3 linked regions of the Arabidopsis thaliana genome follow. The protein of the gene in region 2 interacts with the protein of the main gene of each other region in a pairwise test. Each region holds a gene or a part of one and is shown on either strand. Other genes may lie near its edges.

The links.
Region 1: the proteins of MAC5A (region 2) and PCFS4 interact in binary tests that used the Arabidopsis thaliana proteins (3 or more experiments, as listed by UniProt).
Region 3: the proteins of MAC5A (region 2) and PTF1 interact in binary tests that used the Arabidopsis thaliana proteins (3 or more experiments, as listed by UniProt).

What each region holds. Positions count from the first base shown.
Region 1 is NC_003075.7:2,469,966-2,476,691, forward strand, and holds PCFS4 (PCF11P-similar protein 4), read left to right. Parts: upstream 1-1,900; 5' UTR 1,901-2,117; coding exon 2,118-2,450; intron 2,451-2,612; coding exon 2,613-2,714; intron 2,715-2,803; coding exon 2,804-3,043; intron 3,044-3,499; coding exon 3,500-4,690; intron 4,691-4,771; coding exon 4,772-5,287; intron 5,288-5,407; coding exon 5,408-5,452; 3' UTR 5,453-6,060; downstream 6,061-6,726.
Region 2 is NC_003070.9:2,259,817-2,265,158, reverse strand, and holds MAC5A (CCCH-type zinc fingerfamily protein with RNA-binding domain-containing protein), read left to right. Parts: upstream 1-2,235; 5' UTR 2,236-2,363; coding exon 2,364-2,468; intron 2,469-2,804; coding exon 2,805-3,074; intron 3,075-3,195; coding exon 3,196-3,419; intron 3,420-3,750; coding exon 3,751-4,597; 3' UTR 4,598-4,842; downstream 4,843-5,342. Other genes in the region: AT1G07380 (Neutral/alkaline non-lysosomal ceramidase), read left to right, coding at 71-330; PCNA1 (proliferating cellular nuclear antigen 1), read right to left, coding at 777-998, 1,111-1,208, 1,292-1,444, 1,637-1,955; SR45a (RNA-binding (RRM/RBD/RNP motifs) family protein), read left to right, coding at 5,058-5,147.
Region 3 is NC_003074.8:388,609-393,338, forward strand, and holds PTF1 (plastid transcription factor 1), read left to right. Parts: upstream 1-2,111; 5' UTR 2,112-2,635; intron 2,636-2,888; 5' UTR 2,889-2,913; coding exon 2,914-3,981; 3' UTR 3,982-4,159; downstream 4,160-4,730. UniProt on the Arabidopsis thaliana protein: Plays a pivotal role in the control of morphogenesis of shoot organs by negatively regulating the expression of boundary-specific genes such as CUC genes, probably through the induction of miRNA (e.g. miR164).

The sequences.
Region 1 (6,726 bases), on a different chromosome or scaffold from region 2:
TAACCTCACCAGAATCAGCACCTGGTGATTTTTAACTCTTTTCACTTTTGTTTTTTAATGACTCTTCTAAAAAGATGTTCGTAATACAAAAAAATTAGCTTCCAAAACTTATAAAAGCTATATAGATCTTACTTTAAAAAATTAACAAATGCATTGAGCTCTTAATCACTTTCTAATGAATTCTTTTGTTCTACATATATCATGAATCATGACAAATAACATTCAATACCTACATACAACTTAACAAAATTACATTTTTTAATAAAAAAAGCCCGCGATTTGGTTCGGGTTTCGCCCTAGTACTAACTAGAGAAGAAAGAGATTTTCGAAGAAAAAATATGGAACATGTGAAAAGTTTAGAAGGTATGACACATATTGCTTAAACAAAATCATAAGAGGATGGAAAGAGACACTGTAAGAAAAAATGAAACAAATAAAACGAGTGCTTGCAAAAAGATAGGGAGAGTGATAGCTCTTTGTAAAAAAATTGTGAAGACAGAAATTCATATACATATTGAAAAGAATGTGAGAAAATATGAGTTGTTAAAGTAAAGTATAGATAAGCTTATGAATATACTTCTATATAATATCTTATTTTTAGACGAGCTATACTAACTAATGCAGCGAAGATAAACAAAAAAGAATAGTAAATTTACGGATTTCAAAATGAGAAAGTCGTCGAAGTTATTTTCCATAAAACAATTTATTTCATACATAAAAAGACGTCGTGATCCTAAATATCTAAAGCTAAAGAGAGAGTCATGAGCCAAAAAAATGTTCTTTTGATAAATGTTGTAAACCTAAAAGTTGTATTAAAGTTATTTTTAGTTTTGTATTTAAATTGTAACTATTGTCATGGTAATTTTAAAATTCAAAGAGTTTATAATATTAACAACAAGTAGACATATAAAAACATATCTTTTAAAAAATTTCTATAATAATTTTATTCACACAAAAAAATATTAAAAAGTTTTACAAATAGACCCATGCGTAGCGTGGATTCATAACCTAGGATTTAGAACGACTAATCGGGAGTTGCCACATAAATAATTAACATATTTAGTATCTAATTAATTAACATTTTTGAAAACAACCAATCGGGAGCTGCCACATCAATAATTAACATATTTAGCATCTAATTAATTAACATTTTTGAAAATAGCAATTACTTTATATTTTAAAATGTAAAAACAAAGGAACTAACAAATATTAAATTTAAACTTATAAAATAGGAAGCTATATAATTATAATTATGTAATAATAAACTCAAACCCTTATAGGATTTTATACAACTAATCCAACATTTTTTTAATATAACTTAAAGAAACGTAACAAGGACGTGGTTTGATGGTGGTGTTTTTAACTGTATCAATTTGAATCAAGTTCTCGAAGATATGCTCGTGGCAACTACCATGAGAATTCCACTTTTTCGGTCATGTGACAACCACACAAATTTCCGAGTTTCACGAGTTCAAAATCGGTGTTTCAACTCGTAACTTAGCCTTGAACGCATAAAAGCGAACTGAATGAATTAGAGTTGTAATGTTGTATTTATTTTTGTAGATTGTTTTAATCCGCTTCTTGCTAATCTCTGTATTTCTGTCAAAAATCAAAAATAATATAAAATCTAATTGTCTACCAAAAAAAAAATCATTCATAGTCCATGAGTAGAATCAAAACAAGATAGATTCAAACTTTATCAAGATAGATAAATAAGCTAAGAAATGAAATAGTTCCTCAAAACTAAATTTAGTGTCACCAAGAGGCAAGATCAAACTTTTCAAATAAGGGAAAGAAGAGAATTGCAACGTGATTAATTGATGAGGTCATAGTAAAAGTCAAAAATCTGTGTGACTCAAAACGGGTAAAAACAATAATTGGGATGTAGTTGATAACTCTAAAAAAAAAGGGACAAAAATGAGATTTGCATAAAGTAGAGATACAAAATTGAGAAGAAAAAAAAATCCTCTTCACTAAAAAAAAAAAAACTTCCGTTATCGATCTCTATCTCTCTCTTCCCCCACAAGGGTGGCGATTCGAGGAGTTTCCATGGTGGAACAGAAACCCTAGAGCCTTTATGCTGCCACTAATTATCACTCTTCACTATTGAATTGGGGATGGACTCAGAGAAAATCCTCAATCCAAGACTTGTTTCGATTAATAGCACCAGCCGCAAAGGTATGTCCGTTGAGTTGCCGCAGAAACCGCCGCCACCGCCGTCGTTGTTAGACCGGTTTAAAGCTTTGCTTAATCAGCGTGAAGATGAGTTCGGTGGTGGTGAAGAGGTTTTGCCTCCGAGTATGGATGAGATTGTTCAGCTTTATGAGGTTGTTTTGGGTGAGCTTACTTTCAATTCTAAGCCTATTATCACTGATCTCACTATTATCGCTGGTGAACAACGGGAACATGGTGAAGGAATCGCTAATGCTATTTGCACTCGAATCCTTGAGGTTTGCTTTCTTCTTATTTGTTTCCACTTTCTAGCCTTATTGTATAGTATGTAAGTGTAGAAGTGGGAAAAAAATTAGGTTTTTGATTGTCAGAGATTAGTGTTTGGTTTGTGGTTTAGTGAAATGGCTGCTTCTGAGTTACCTGTGGGTGTATATATGCAGGCTCCTGTTGAGCAAAAGTTGCCATCTCTGTATCTTTTAGACAGCATTGTTAAGAACATTGGGCGGGATTATGGTCGCTATTTCTCATCCCGTCTACCCGAGGTGAGCAGTCTACAAGAAGATGTTTACTTAAATGATTTGAATAGGGCTGAAGCATACCCATGAGCTGTTTTGATCCTATTCTGCTTTAGGTCTTCTGCCTTGCATATAGGCAAGCACATCCGAGTTTACATCCGTCAATGCGTCACCTGTTTGGGACTTGGTCGAGTGTTTTTCCACCACCTGTACTACGCAAGATTGATATGCAATTGCAACTTTCATCTGCAGCAAACCAATCTTCCGTAGGGGCTTCTGAGCCTAGTCAACCAACGAGAGGTATACATGTTAATCCAAAATATCTTCGCAGGCTGGAGCCCTCAGCCGCCGAAAATGTAAGCCTTTCTCTTTGTCATTATGAACAGAGATGACATTCTTTTTTTAGGTGCATCTGCAACCTTGAAGCTATGGTGTGTTAATTTTATATAAGTGTACTAAGTAAAACGGGTATTAGATTAGTTTGGCCTCATAGTGGTCTTATCCATTGTATTTCTTTAAAGTTTTGTTAGTTAGACGAGATAGATGTTTACATTCTTCAAGTAATCAATCTTGACTGGAAGGGAGTTGTTGTTATGGCCTCTCTCAGTTATACATGATGAGTAGGTCACTGGGACTCTGGTACATTAGAAATGATCTTGTTAGCACATGTAGAGGGTTTTTTTTTGGTTATAGTACAGTAGATCACTGTTTATGCATCATGTGTCGTTTGGAACTGTTTTTATATGTTTTTTTTCAAAGAGTGACTATACCTGAGATGCATATTTCCTTAATTGCTCTTGCTTGACATGCAGAATTTGAGAGGAATTAATTCCAGTGCAAGAGTTTATGGCCAAAATTCACTCGGTGGGTATAATGATTTCGAAGATCAGTTAGAGAGCCCATCTTCACTGTCTAGTACACCAGATGGTTTTACCAGGAGGTCTAATGATGGAGCTAATCCTTCTAATCAAGCTTTTAACTATGGAATGGGTCGAGCTACTAGCAGAGATGATGAACATATGGAATGGCGAAGAAAGGAAAACTTAGGCCAAGGAAATGATCACGAAAGACCTAGAGCGTTGATAGATGCATATGGAGTTGACACCAGCAAACACGTAACGATCAATAAACCAATTCGCGATATGAATGGCATGCACAGTAAGATGGTTACACCATGGCAGAACACTGAGGAAGAAGAGTTTGATTGGGAAGATATGAGCCCTACCCTAGATCGTAGCAGAGCTGGTGAATTTTTGCGATCATCTGTACCAGCATTAGGAAGTGTAAGGGCAAGACCCAGAGTAGGAAACACAAGTGATTTTCATTTAGATTCTGACATTAAGAATGGTGTAAGTCATCAGCTACGAGAAAATTGGAGTTTGTCACAAAATTATCCACATACATCCAACCGTGTTGATACAAGAGCAGGAAAAGACTTGAAAGTATTGGCTTCATCTGTAGGGTTAGTTTCATCAAACAGTGAATTCGGGGCTCCTCCATTTGATAGCATTCAAGATGTTAACTCACGTTTTGGCCGGGCTCTTCCTGATGGGACATGGCCCCATTTGAGTGCTAGAGGACCCAACTCTCTCCCTGTACCTTCTGCTCATTTGCATCATTTGGCAAATCCCGGTAATGCGATGTCAAATCGCTTGCAAGGTAAGCCTTTATATAGGCCCGAAAACCAGGTCTCTCAGAGTCATCTTAATGATATGACTCAACAGAATCAGATGCTAGTTAATTATTTGCCATCCTCATCTGCTATGGCTCCAAGGCCAATGCAATCGTTGTTAACCCACGTAAGTCATGGGTACCCTCCACATGGGTCAACCATTAGACCATCTTTATCAATCCAAGGTGGGGAAGCCATGCATCCTCTTTCTTCAGGAGTTTTATCTCAGATAGGAGCCTCTAATCAACCACCAGGTGGCGCATTCTCTGGTCTGATTGGCTCTCTCATGGCTCAAGGTTTGATCTCATTGAACAATCAGCCTGCTGGTCAGGTAATTATTCAAATCATGTCCTTGAGAGTCGGTTTGTTCTTAGTTATTGCTTTATCTTGAATTGTTGGTTTATATATTCAGGGACCATTGGGGTTGGAGTTTGATGCAGACATGCTCAAGATACGTAATGAGTCTGCAATCAGTGCTTTATATGGGGATCTCCCGAGGCAATGCACAACCTGTGGTCTACGCTTCAAGTGCCAAGAAGAGCACAGTAAGCACATGGATTGGCATGTAACCAAGAACAGGATGTCCAAGAACCATAAGCAGAACCCTTCTCGGAAATGGTTTGTAAGTGCTAGCATGTGGCTCAGTGGTGCAGAAGCACTTGGAGCTGAAGCAGTACCAGGGTTCTTGCCCACGGAGCCAACAACAGAAAAGAAGGATGACGAAGATATGGCAGTTCCTGCAGATGAAGACCAAACTTCATGTGCATTATGTGGTGAGCCATTTGAAGACTTTTATAGTGATGAAACCGAGGAATGGATGTACAAAGGTGCGGTATACATGAATGCTCCTGAAGAATCAACAACAGATATGGACAAGTCTCAGTTAGGTCCTATAGTGCATGCAAAGTGCAGGCCAGAGTCCAATGGGGTAAGCCATTCCATGCATTTTCATTAGCTTCATTTGTGTCTAGTTGAATCCATTTTCATTTTCGCTGCTAGACATTTATCCAGTGACGACCTCTTGATTTCCCGATCATGGCTTTTTCAGGGTGATATGGAAGAGGGTAGTCAGAGGAAAAAGATGCGGAGTTAGATCCCTTAGACCGAATTTTAGGTCTTTTTCTTGACTACATTTAAGTTACATTCTTATTTCTTCATCATCTATATGCACTTAGTCACAGAATACCACCAATGAAGAGAAATGATGGAGAGAGTCTTCTTTCTCCTAAAACTGTACCATTGAAAAAAAGAGGTTTACACCCACATATATTATCATTCTTTATGCCTCTAAATTCCTGTTGTGCCTTAGGACATGGATATCGTGTAACTGTTCTGCATTCTCTGCTACACCTAACCTGGGGTGCTTGTAGTAGTAAAATCAGATGTCGCAACAGTAGTTTCCCCATGTAAATGGAATACAATGTCTCTGTTTCGGATTGTCTTTTTCTTTTTCATCTTTAGATATTGCAGGGAAAGCCCGAGAAGACTGATATTCGAATGTGAACAGATTTCTTATGATGAATGGATCTCATAGATGCTGTTGCTAAGAGAACCAGTTTCAGGTTTCTTCTTTAGAGCTTTCCCTGTCTGAGTTTTACCTTTCTATGTTAGGCTGTTAGCTAAAAATGTTAGTTAACATAACTCTCTTTAAGCGTATTTGTTCTCTTGACTTTGTCTATAATGAAACAAGTTTTACTTTTCTTCTATCTGAACCTTTTGCTTTTGAAATTTCCACTACTTGTATCTTCATACCTACATGATACAGAGCCGGATTTATGTCGAAGTAGATTGAACGATAGTTAAAGCTTTCGAACTTACTTGGCTTTTTGCTCGATCAAACTAGAGTTTTTTCATGACTGTTACATTTGAAATATGGAATTATAAAGATTTAAAGGTTATGATTTAGTTCTGGTAGTACCTTATAGGACTGCAGAGCAAACTCAGTTCAAATCTGGCTTTGTCTCAACCGTTAGTCTCTAAACAAGAGTATGTGATGATCAATAGATGTAATGGCTGGAGTAAAATTCATGTTTGTTATATACATTGTGAAAATAGTCTATTATAGTATGAATATAAGAAAACAGCTTGCAATATGCAATATGAACTAAGCTAGAACAAAAGATCAGGTTAAGAACACACATCATTGCCCTTTTATTTTGCCTTTGTTAGAAAATTGGACCGTTGGTTGAATGGGATAAGAGAGAGCTAACAGAAACTAGTAGTGTACTAATAACAAAGATTTTAACTCCATATCTGTCAAGTGCAACAAAAGGGCTTACAATACAAAACAACAAAGAAACTGACAACTTGGGTCGGAGAACGCAAAAAGGGGAAACCCAAAAGGTGTTCAAAAAACTGTCAACGAAA
Region 2 (5,342 bases):
TGATGGATCCTTTCAAAATAAGTGACTTGTCATACTTTGATGCTAAGAAGAGATACTATGTTCATGACAGGGACGTTTACACTGGTGGAGAGACTAGAGCAGAAGGACAAGACTTGGACCCCGGTTTATGACGACGATGATCTATGTCTGAGGTTCAAGTGGTCGAGGCATAAAAAGCTGAGCTCCCGGAGTCAGGCCACTGTGGAATGGAGAATTCCCGAGTCTGCATCACCAGGGGTTTATAGGATCACCCATTTTGGTGCTGCAAAGAAGCTTTTTGGGTCAGTCCATCATTTCACAGGCTCTTCTAGTGCTTTCGTTGTAACATAAACAAGTAGAAACCAAAGTAGATACATAGTAAACTTGTATTATACTAGGTTTACCTGATGCACTGTCTTGTGCACTTGCATGTACTACACAAATGTAGCCAGAGAGTACAGAATGGTGTCAAAGAACTGATGTTGAGAAGTCTAATGGAATCCAATATACCTTTTCATGTCAATGTTCACATACAGTTTAAGTATCCAGGTATAGGCAACTACGGTTGTGTTAGTGTATAAATTATCTTGCAAAGTGGAGTTAGTTTGTTGATGAATGGTCATAGTTTCAAGACAACTAATTTTGCTGAACTTTGTTATCATAAAACATAATAAGTCAAGAAAACAACTGATTCTAGAGGGGGGATACAAAGGAATCTCACCAAAAAAAAACACCAACATTGTCAATAAATCTTCAACATTTTAGAATGAAGAGAAATTGTGGATATAAAAGGGGTCTTAGGGATTAGTGTCTTCTTCTTCTTCAATCTTAGGAGCCAAGTAGTAACGAATGTAACCCATCTCAGCAACCTTATACTCCACAACCACTGGCAACTCCGACGATAAGCTGATTGTCACTGTGTCTGACAATGGAGTTGCCTTTGTGAAGGAATTCATGTACCTCAGGGCAAATGAGAGAGACACTGGCTCCTTCATCTCTATCACAATTGCATCTTCCGGCTGCAATACACAAAACAAAAGCCTCAATTTAACATGTTACTCCAATGAAACAGCCGTAGAGGATTTGTCAACAGTATCATAGGTTTATGCAAAGAGTTAGACATGTTAATACCTTGTCTACAGTTGTGTTCTGCCTGAGCACAATGTTAGCGGTTCCAATGTCACCGGCAGTAGAAAACTTCACGCCTTCTTTAGTCACAGAGATCACAACTGCAACAATAACATCAGGTCAATCTCTATTTAGACTAAAAAAAACAACCCAGATTGAGAATAGAAACAATGCAGCAATGTACCTGTGTCACCAATGCTACTGAGATCTTTGCAAATCCTGGAAAACTCATTGGAAGGCATCCTCACGATTGAGTGGTACTCAGCATCAGGTATTCCCAGATGTTCACTGTCTATATCCATCAACTTCATCTCAAAATCAGCAATCTTGTCTTGCGCTGTAAATCATCCAACACAAAACCAAGTTAAAAGCAGCTAGGTCTAAACCAAGTTTTTGAAACTTGAAACTATATACAACCCCTAAGAGAACTAAATCATTCTATTCCATCAATCATTCCACCATTTCGTACAAGCTTAACCCATAGAAACCAGAAATTAGAGTAAGTCAGTCAATTAGCAAATAAACTTACTGGGGCTCTCAAACATGAAGGTAACGGTGTCGCCGCCGTCATCAGCCTTGATGGTGATGATGTCATCATTTCCGGCGCATTTGAGCATCTTCGACATGTTGCCGAGATTCATCCCCATGGAGAGATTCCTGTCGCATCTGTAGTGTTCGAAGCCTTCGGATCTTAGCAAGAGAGACACCAGAGCAACGTGACTCGAATCCATAGCTTGGAGTGAGAACCCAGTGCTGGAGCAGTCGAAATTCGCATCGTTCACCAGATCTTTGATTGATTCTAGAACCTTCTTCAACAACGAGCCCTGAACAAGACGTAGCTCCAACATTTCGTCGTCTTAGATATTATCAGAGTTCACAATGAGAATCGTTTGCGGCTATTTTGGAAAGTGGATTGACACTATAAGGTCAAGGAGTCCGATTTATAAGCTTTTTCTTTTCTGGCGGGATTTCGCCATTCTAAGCTATTTGGTTCCCGCCAATGCGCTAGTGCCGGCCTCAATCGTTTTAAGAATTGGATGGATATTTTTGGTCATTATAAAAGTTAGAGGGTTAATTTGTATTAATAAAAAGAAGAAAAGTTCATTTCGAATTGTAGTGAAAGTTTAGGGTTTTATTTGTAATATTTAAAAGACAAAAACACGCGAATCCAAAACCGACTTTGCCCTAGTTAAAATCTCGTCGTCTCCTTCGTGTTCGAGATTTGATATCGACTAATCGAATCAGAGGATAAGAGAATGGCTCACAGAATACTGAGAGATCATGAAGCCGATGGATGGGAACGCTCCGATTTCCCAATCATCTGCGAATCTTGTCTCGGTGACAACCCCTACGTGCGAATGGTGATTTCTCGATTCCTTCTCTCAAACATTCTTGGATTTTGCTATTGCTTGTTTTGTTTCAATGGCTCCTGAATCTTATTTCCGGATCTCATCTCTTAACCAGTCTCTTGCTCGTTGATGTTTTCTGTATATTGGAGTGGTTAACTTAGTAAATATGGTTTTAGGGTTTAGCTTGTTATCAAATTCATCGAAAAATTGGGTTTTACATCCAAATTCGTTTAGTTATAGTTGGATTTGATTACAGCTGCGGATTCTCTTAGCTTTCAGCTGCAATTTTGTTTTCTGAAAATCTCGATGTTTTGATTTCTGATTGACGTTTTATCTGTTGATATGTAGACCAAAGCGAATTATGATAAGGAATGCAAGATATGTACACGACCTTTCACGGTGTTTAGGTGGCGACCTGGCCGGGATGCTAGATACAAGAAAACCGAAATTTGTCAGACTTGCTGCAAGTTGAAAAATGTTTGTCAAGTCTGTCTTCTGGATCTTGAGTATGGTCTTCCAGTTCAAGTAAGAGACACAGCACTCAACATTAGTACTCATGACTCTATCCCTAAAAGTGATGTCAACAGAGAGTATTTTGCTGAAGAGCATGACAGGAAGGTATGATCATGTTCACACTCACGATTTTATTTCAGCATTTGTTGGTTTGAGAATTTTGAAGACTTACTCTAGCTTTCTCATGGTGGCTTATCTAAGTGATTTTGCTTTTTCTGTTATGTAGGCTAGAGCTGGACTGGATTATGAATCTTCATTCGGGAAGATGCGACCCAATGATACTATTTTAAAGCTTCAAAGAACAACACCGTACTATAAGAGGAACCGAGCACATGTTTGTAGTTTCTTCATCAGGGGTGAGTGTACAAGAGGTGCTGAATGTCCATACCGGCATGAGATGCCCGAAACAGGAGAGCTATCCCAGCAAAACATAAAAGACCGTTATTATGGGTAAGCTTTTTTCTTCTGTATGTTTGACTTTGTTGACGTTTAGTTCCGTTCTTTATTGGTTGTTTCGATACCTCCCCTAAGGAGTGTAAAATTTCATATGTTTCTGCCATAGTACTATTTTCTCCTTGATCATTCATAATATACTCGATATTTGAAAGCTTCTGATATGTGAATTCTTGGACTGAACTATGCTATGTTGGCTCTCATGTAGTCTTGTTACATAGTGTCGTTTCCAGTTTTAGTTCTCTTTGTAATGTATTAGTACTTTTGCATTTATTCTTGTTGAAGAGTTTGTTTTAACTGTTTCTCATTTTCTTTTACACGTTTTCAGTGTTAATGATCCAGTTGCTATGAAGTTGCTTGGCAAAGCTGGTGAGATGGGCACTTTGGAATCGCCAGACGATGAAAGCATCAAAACCCTTTACGTCGGTGGACTTAACTCGAGAATTCTCGAGCAGGACATACGAGACCAATTCTACGCTCATGGAGAAATTGAATCTATCAGAATCTTGGCCGATAAAGCCTGTGCATTTGTCACATACACAAGCCGTGAAGGTGCAGAGAAGGCTGCGCAAGAGCTCTCCAACAGGCTAGTCATCAACGGTCAGAGGCTAAAACTCACATGGGGAAGACCCAAACCTGATCAAGATGGTGCAAACCAACAGGGCGGTGTGGCTCATAGTGGGTTACTACCTCGAGCCGTTATATCTCAGCAGCACAATCAACCCCCACCAATGCAGCAGTACTATATGCACCCACCACCAGCTAACCAAGACAAACCTTATTACCCATCAATGGACCCACAGAGAATGGGTGCAGTCATTTCAACCCAAGAGGCTGGTGGTTCAAGCACTGAGAACAACGGAGCTTCATCTTCTTCTTACATGATGCCTCCACACCAGTCATACCCACCACCACCATATGGATATATGCCATCGCCTTACCAGCAGCAGTATCCTCCTAACCATCATCATCAACCTAGTCCTATGCAGCACTATGCCCCGCCTCCAGCAGCTTACCCGTACCCACAGCAACCTGGTCCTGGATCAAGACCTGCACCGTCTCCAACCGCGGTCTCTGCTATATCACCCGACTCTGCACCTGCTGGGTCTGGAGCACCTTCGGGATCCTCTCAACAAGCTCCTGATGTTTCTACAGCTACTGGTTCGTCTCAGTAGAGAAGAAATATCGCTTAAAAAATGTACTGCAAGTTTCCCGCTATTCAGGACGAAGGTTTTTTGTATTCTGAATGAATCATTTTCTTCTGCTTTTTAAAGTACTTCGGAATGTATTGTTTCTTCAAAACGGTTGTTAACGAAATCTATCAGTTATAGAGGCAATTGGTTCCATGAAGAGTCTGCAGTTATTGGCCAATTTCATAAAGAACTTTGAGAATATTATTATCACAAATTTCACATTTGCTCGAATCGTTTATTTTTTTTTGAGAATTCTACTAGTAATTTGGATAAATGCAAATAATCTGGGAAATACAATTGGGCCTTTTGTGAGAAGAAAAATCGTATAAAGCTGGGCCGGACGCCAAACTGAAAAATGTGATGGAATTTTTAAAATTCAATCGCGTCCGACTTTCCCGAAGCTTCTTTCTAAATCCTCTCTACATATATTCCCCACTCATATATGGGGAAACGTGAAATTCATTTTACTCCGGTGGGTCGTCAGGTGCAGAGAGTTCTGGAATATCCATTGCGCTTGGAGAATCGTTCGCCGGTAATTTGCTTCATCGATTGTATTATCCTTCGTTTTTTAGTTTCCGATTTAGAGCCGTTTTACAGAGTTGTTTTCGAAATTCTGTGGAACTATCGTCTTTTAGGTGTTGTTAGATCTGAATCGTTGCTGTAAATTTCGATGTGCTTAAGCTTGATTCTAGACTTGTAAGGAAAATAACTAGATAGATGTCAGCAT
Region 3 (4,730 bases), on a different chromosome or scaffold from region 2:
TATCAGATAAACTTACACATTTTCTAATGGAAATTAAATATTCTTAGTAACGCATAGTCATACTTGCGCGTTCTTCTTAATTAGTCTTTCAGAAAAAGTGTCAATATATCTTCTGGAATATTTAATATATAGTCGTATATATGACTATCGAATCTCAGAAATGTGGCTATCAATCTATCTATATGTGTATATATATATAAACGTGTTTGTAATTTTGATAAAGATCTGAAACTCAAGTGGAAGAAACTGAATTGTATACGTCTCGAAATGGCATGCGTACCCACGGTACTGTATATGTGTAGATCATTATTTGAATATCCACGTCAACCGAAATTAATGATTTGGTGTTCTATTTGCAATATTCACGTAAGCTCACGTAATTCATACGTTTTTGTTTGTCTTGCTAACTTTAGCTTCATCTCATTTATATACGCTGATATTGATTGCTATTTATCAAATATGGAGAAATGTGTTTAACTTTTAACATGATTTTTAGGATATTATTGTCGTTGATATATATATCCTTCACATCATTAATTATTATTATGGATGTGAAAATACTATAGAAAAGCTATTAAAACCCCAATCTTTGTTCATGAGACAACAAAATTCTGGAGTCGGTGAAGTAGACATGACTTAATGGATTCTAAGTTTGTCCGATTTCTCCTTTGTTCCCATGTGATGTCTTAAGATAAAATGATCATCATCACACTTTCTTTTTCTCTTACTCCTTTGTTTCGATTCATAAGGATATATTGCTTTCGTCCACTTCTAATATTCTTATATCACTTTATTTAAAAGACAATGTACAATTTAATAAAATTAATAATTTGATGAATGTTATTGATTCATATAGATATTTAAAATGTATTTGAAAAAGGGGTACAAATCTTATTGTGAATGGATAATTAATTAAGTTGCATACTTCAAAAGACAATCATGTGGATACTTTTTTATTATTAGTTTTATGGATTTGAAATTCTGAAAAATACTCGTCTCAATTATTCTTAGAACATTAAGTTTGACCTAAAAGAATGGTTTGACTAGTAATATGGGAATTATATAGGTGCCCCTTTTCACAGATGATGCATCCGAATAACAAAATCATATTACTTCTTATATCCTACCGTCCATATTAATTATATTAGATTACACATTTAAATATAATATATACATCATTAGATCTAATATAGAAAATCTTATTAAAAAAAAATCCTTATATAAAGAAAAATCACAAGGTTAACACAACCTTATCGATAAATAAAGATGTTAAAACTGATTTTTATATATGAAGCAAAAGTAAATTAGGGCTTAGTGATGTCTAGTTAAAGTACTTGTGTTTTGAAAAGGTAATGAGTCATGACTCAACAAGGTACACAAGGCGTGCATCGGGTAAACCACAACCTTTTGTAATTGTCGATATAACAGCATGCCAATATTCACATGGACCATATACTGTGTGTATATTATATATTACCATATATGTGAGTTACATTTCATATTGTAGAACCAAGGACTAAATTTAAACATAATGTACCATATTCTTTTAATTAGATTATTCATAAGATATCCAATTTAAAAGATGAGTTAAAATGATCAAGAAAACGCTACGCTGAACTCTAAAGTCTAATCTTTATCATTTATAGAAGTGTTATGAAACAAATCAATACCTGGTTAATAATTGATGTAGTTTCATTTTTTTTTTTAAGAAAAGAAAGTGATGAAGTGTTTAACTAGTCATAATATTATAGATCCAACTTCATTTCAATATATCACGAGTGCATTGGCGGCTGCAAAACATATTTTTGAAAAGAGCAAAAAAAAAAATCAAGGATCATAAATAATATAGGTCTTGGCTTTTTAATTCTACCAATAGATTTACAGTGGACAATTAAAGAAAAAAAATCACGAAATTATCATGGTTTGGCTAATTGAGATAAAATTCATACGTTTTCCATCAATAATCGTACATCATCCATTTCACAACAATAATTATTCCTAAAATGTCGTTATTTTCATAACATTGGTTAGATGTTCTAATAAGCTACTATTATATATAACTTCACGTCAATGTATGTTTGATTTTGGCATCTAAAATTTCTGTAAAATTTAGATATTCGCGTATACTTTTTTTGGGATTTTCTTCTTAGCCGTATTATAACTGCAACTCATATCACATACGTGGATGATAAAATATTCGAGTTTAATATCTCCTCCGTATGTAGATTTGATATGATCCATAATATTAAAGATGAAAATGAACTTGACTGATTATTCAGCGCATTCATTTTATTTTCCCTTCGAGGATAGCGAAATCCGCCACGTGGCATTACTACATCCATTGCTTTTTTTAACATAAATACTTAAGTCGCAATTCTTCTAAATTTTGGAGGCTTATGATATTGGTAGGGTTCTCATATTCACTTCCAAAAGCATCTTCTTCTTTCTAATTTTCTTTTTCTTTTTATCTTATTTTCATTTTATTCATATACTTTTTGAAAAGAAAAGTCGAATCACATACTTTCTTCTCTCTATTTCTCATTCTCTCTTCTTCATCATATTACTCATTTTATAGAACAGCAAAACCCTAGATTTCCTGTTCAAGCTCAAGACCGTACAAAACTTTGGAACTCATGTAAGAAACAGTACACGTTTTTTTTTTTGTTTCTTCTTCAGTCCGGATTATAAGAATTTTGTCGATTGAAGAAAACAGGCTAAATTAAACCCTAATTTTCTCTCTTAGACAATTCCTACTTTCTCTCCATTTTTCTGGATTCGCTCTCGTTTTAAAAGGATTCAGAAATTAACTATATTATTTGAATTCTTTTGCCATAATTCCCTTATGTTTTCTGCTAATGGATATACATTTGGTCTTCTTTCTGTATTAGATATAAAGATCTCGAGAATAGCATTATGAATATCGTCTCTTGGAAAGATGCAAACGACGAAGTTGCAGGCGGCGCTACGACAAGACGTGAAAGAGAAGTAAAAGAGGATCAAGAAGAAACCGAAGTCAGAGCCACCAGTGGCAAAACCGTAATTAAAAAGCAGCCTACATCGATCTCTTCTTCTTCTTCTTCGTGGATGAAATCCAAGGATCCGAGGATTGTTAGGGTTTCACGCGCCTTTGGAGGCAAAGACCGTCACAGCAAAGTGTGTACGTTACGTGGACTACGTGACAGACGCGTGAGATTATCAGTCCCAACGGCTATTCAGCTCTACGATCTTCAAGAACGGCTCGGTGTTGACCAGCCTAGCAAAGCCGTTGACTGGTTGCTTGATGCAGCTAAAGAGGAGATCGACGAGCTACCTCCGTTACCTATCTCGCCGGAAAATTTCAGCATCTTCAACCATCATCAGTCCTTCTTGAATCTTGGTCAACGGCCCGGTCAAGATCCGACCCAACTCGGGTTTAAAATCAATGGATGTGTACAAAAGTCTACTACTACTAGCCGCGAAGAAAACGATAGAGAGAAAGGAGAAAACGATGTCGTTTACACAAACAATCATCATGTTGGGTCTTATGGAACTTATCACAACCTGGAACATCATCATCATCATCACCAACATTTGAGTTTACAGGCAGATTATCATAGTCATCAACTACATAGTCTTGTCCCATTTCCATCACAAATTTTGGTATGTCCAATGACGACATCACCAACAACTACAACTATACAATCTTTGTTTCCATCATCATCGTCAGCTGGTTCAGGGACTATGGAGACATTAGATCCGAGGCAAATGGTAAGCCATTTTCAAATGCCATTAATGGGTAATTCTTCATCTTCGTCTTCCCAAAACATTTCGACATTATATTCGTTGTTACATGGTAGTAGTAGCAACAATGGTGGTAGAGACATTGATAATCGGATGTCGTCGGTCCAATTCAACCGAACTAATAGCACTACAACGGCTAACATGTCGAGGCATCTAGGCTCGGAGCGTTGTACAAGTAGAGGAAGTGATCACCATATGTGAAGTTAGATTATTGAAACGATATAATTGTTGTTTGATGTGTTCAGAAATAAGGGGACACAAAACAAAATATAAGGTAATTACTATTGTACTATGTTTTGCTGATATATTTTTTAATAGACAAATTAATGTTATAAATTGATTTATTAATTTACTATTAGCATGTGTTTTGAAACTTTCTCATGTATATATATATATATAGCTTCCTCATAGGATCTGAATACACACAAACATACATGAAATGTATTATAAGTATCTGATAGTAATGTATGCACTTTGAGATGAGAAGCTAAATTACATTCAGATTCATCAAATATTTAGCAAAAAAAAAAATCAGATTCATCAATAGGTAACGTAATAATATGAAATTGAATCTAATAATTTATACTGATCTGTTATCGAGGTATTATGTTTCTATTGGATGCACGGTACAATGCAACTATAGAACTCAATGTGACCGTAGCTAGATAGATTATTAGATGATGATATAAGTGGAGATTCCACAAAACCCAAACAAACCTAACATTACTATGTCATGTGAAGCAGATATATATTGAACCCATTATCAAATAGAAATTCATCATGAATGGTTATTATACATACAAGTGCCCATTTTAAAATCTTATTAGCATAGTAAGTAAACTATCAAGATGCAAAGAAGCCATTCCCATATAAAAATTAAGATGTGTAGCTAGGCTAAATGGTCTCGATAATAATGTGTAGTAGTGAATAGTGATCACATGCATGTTCAC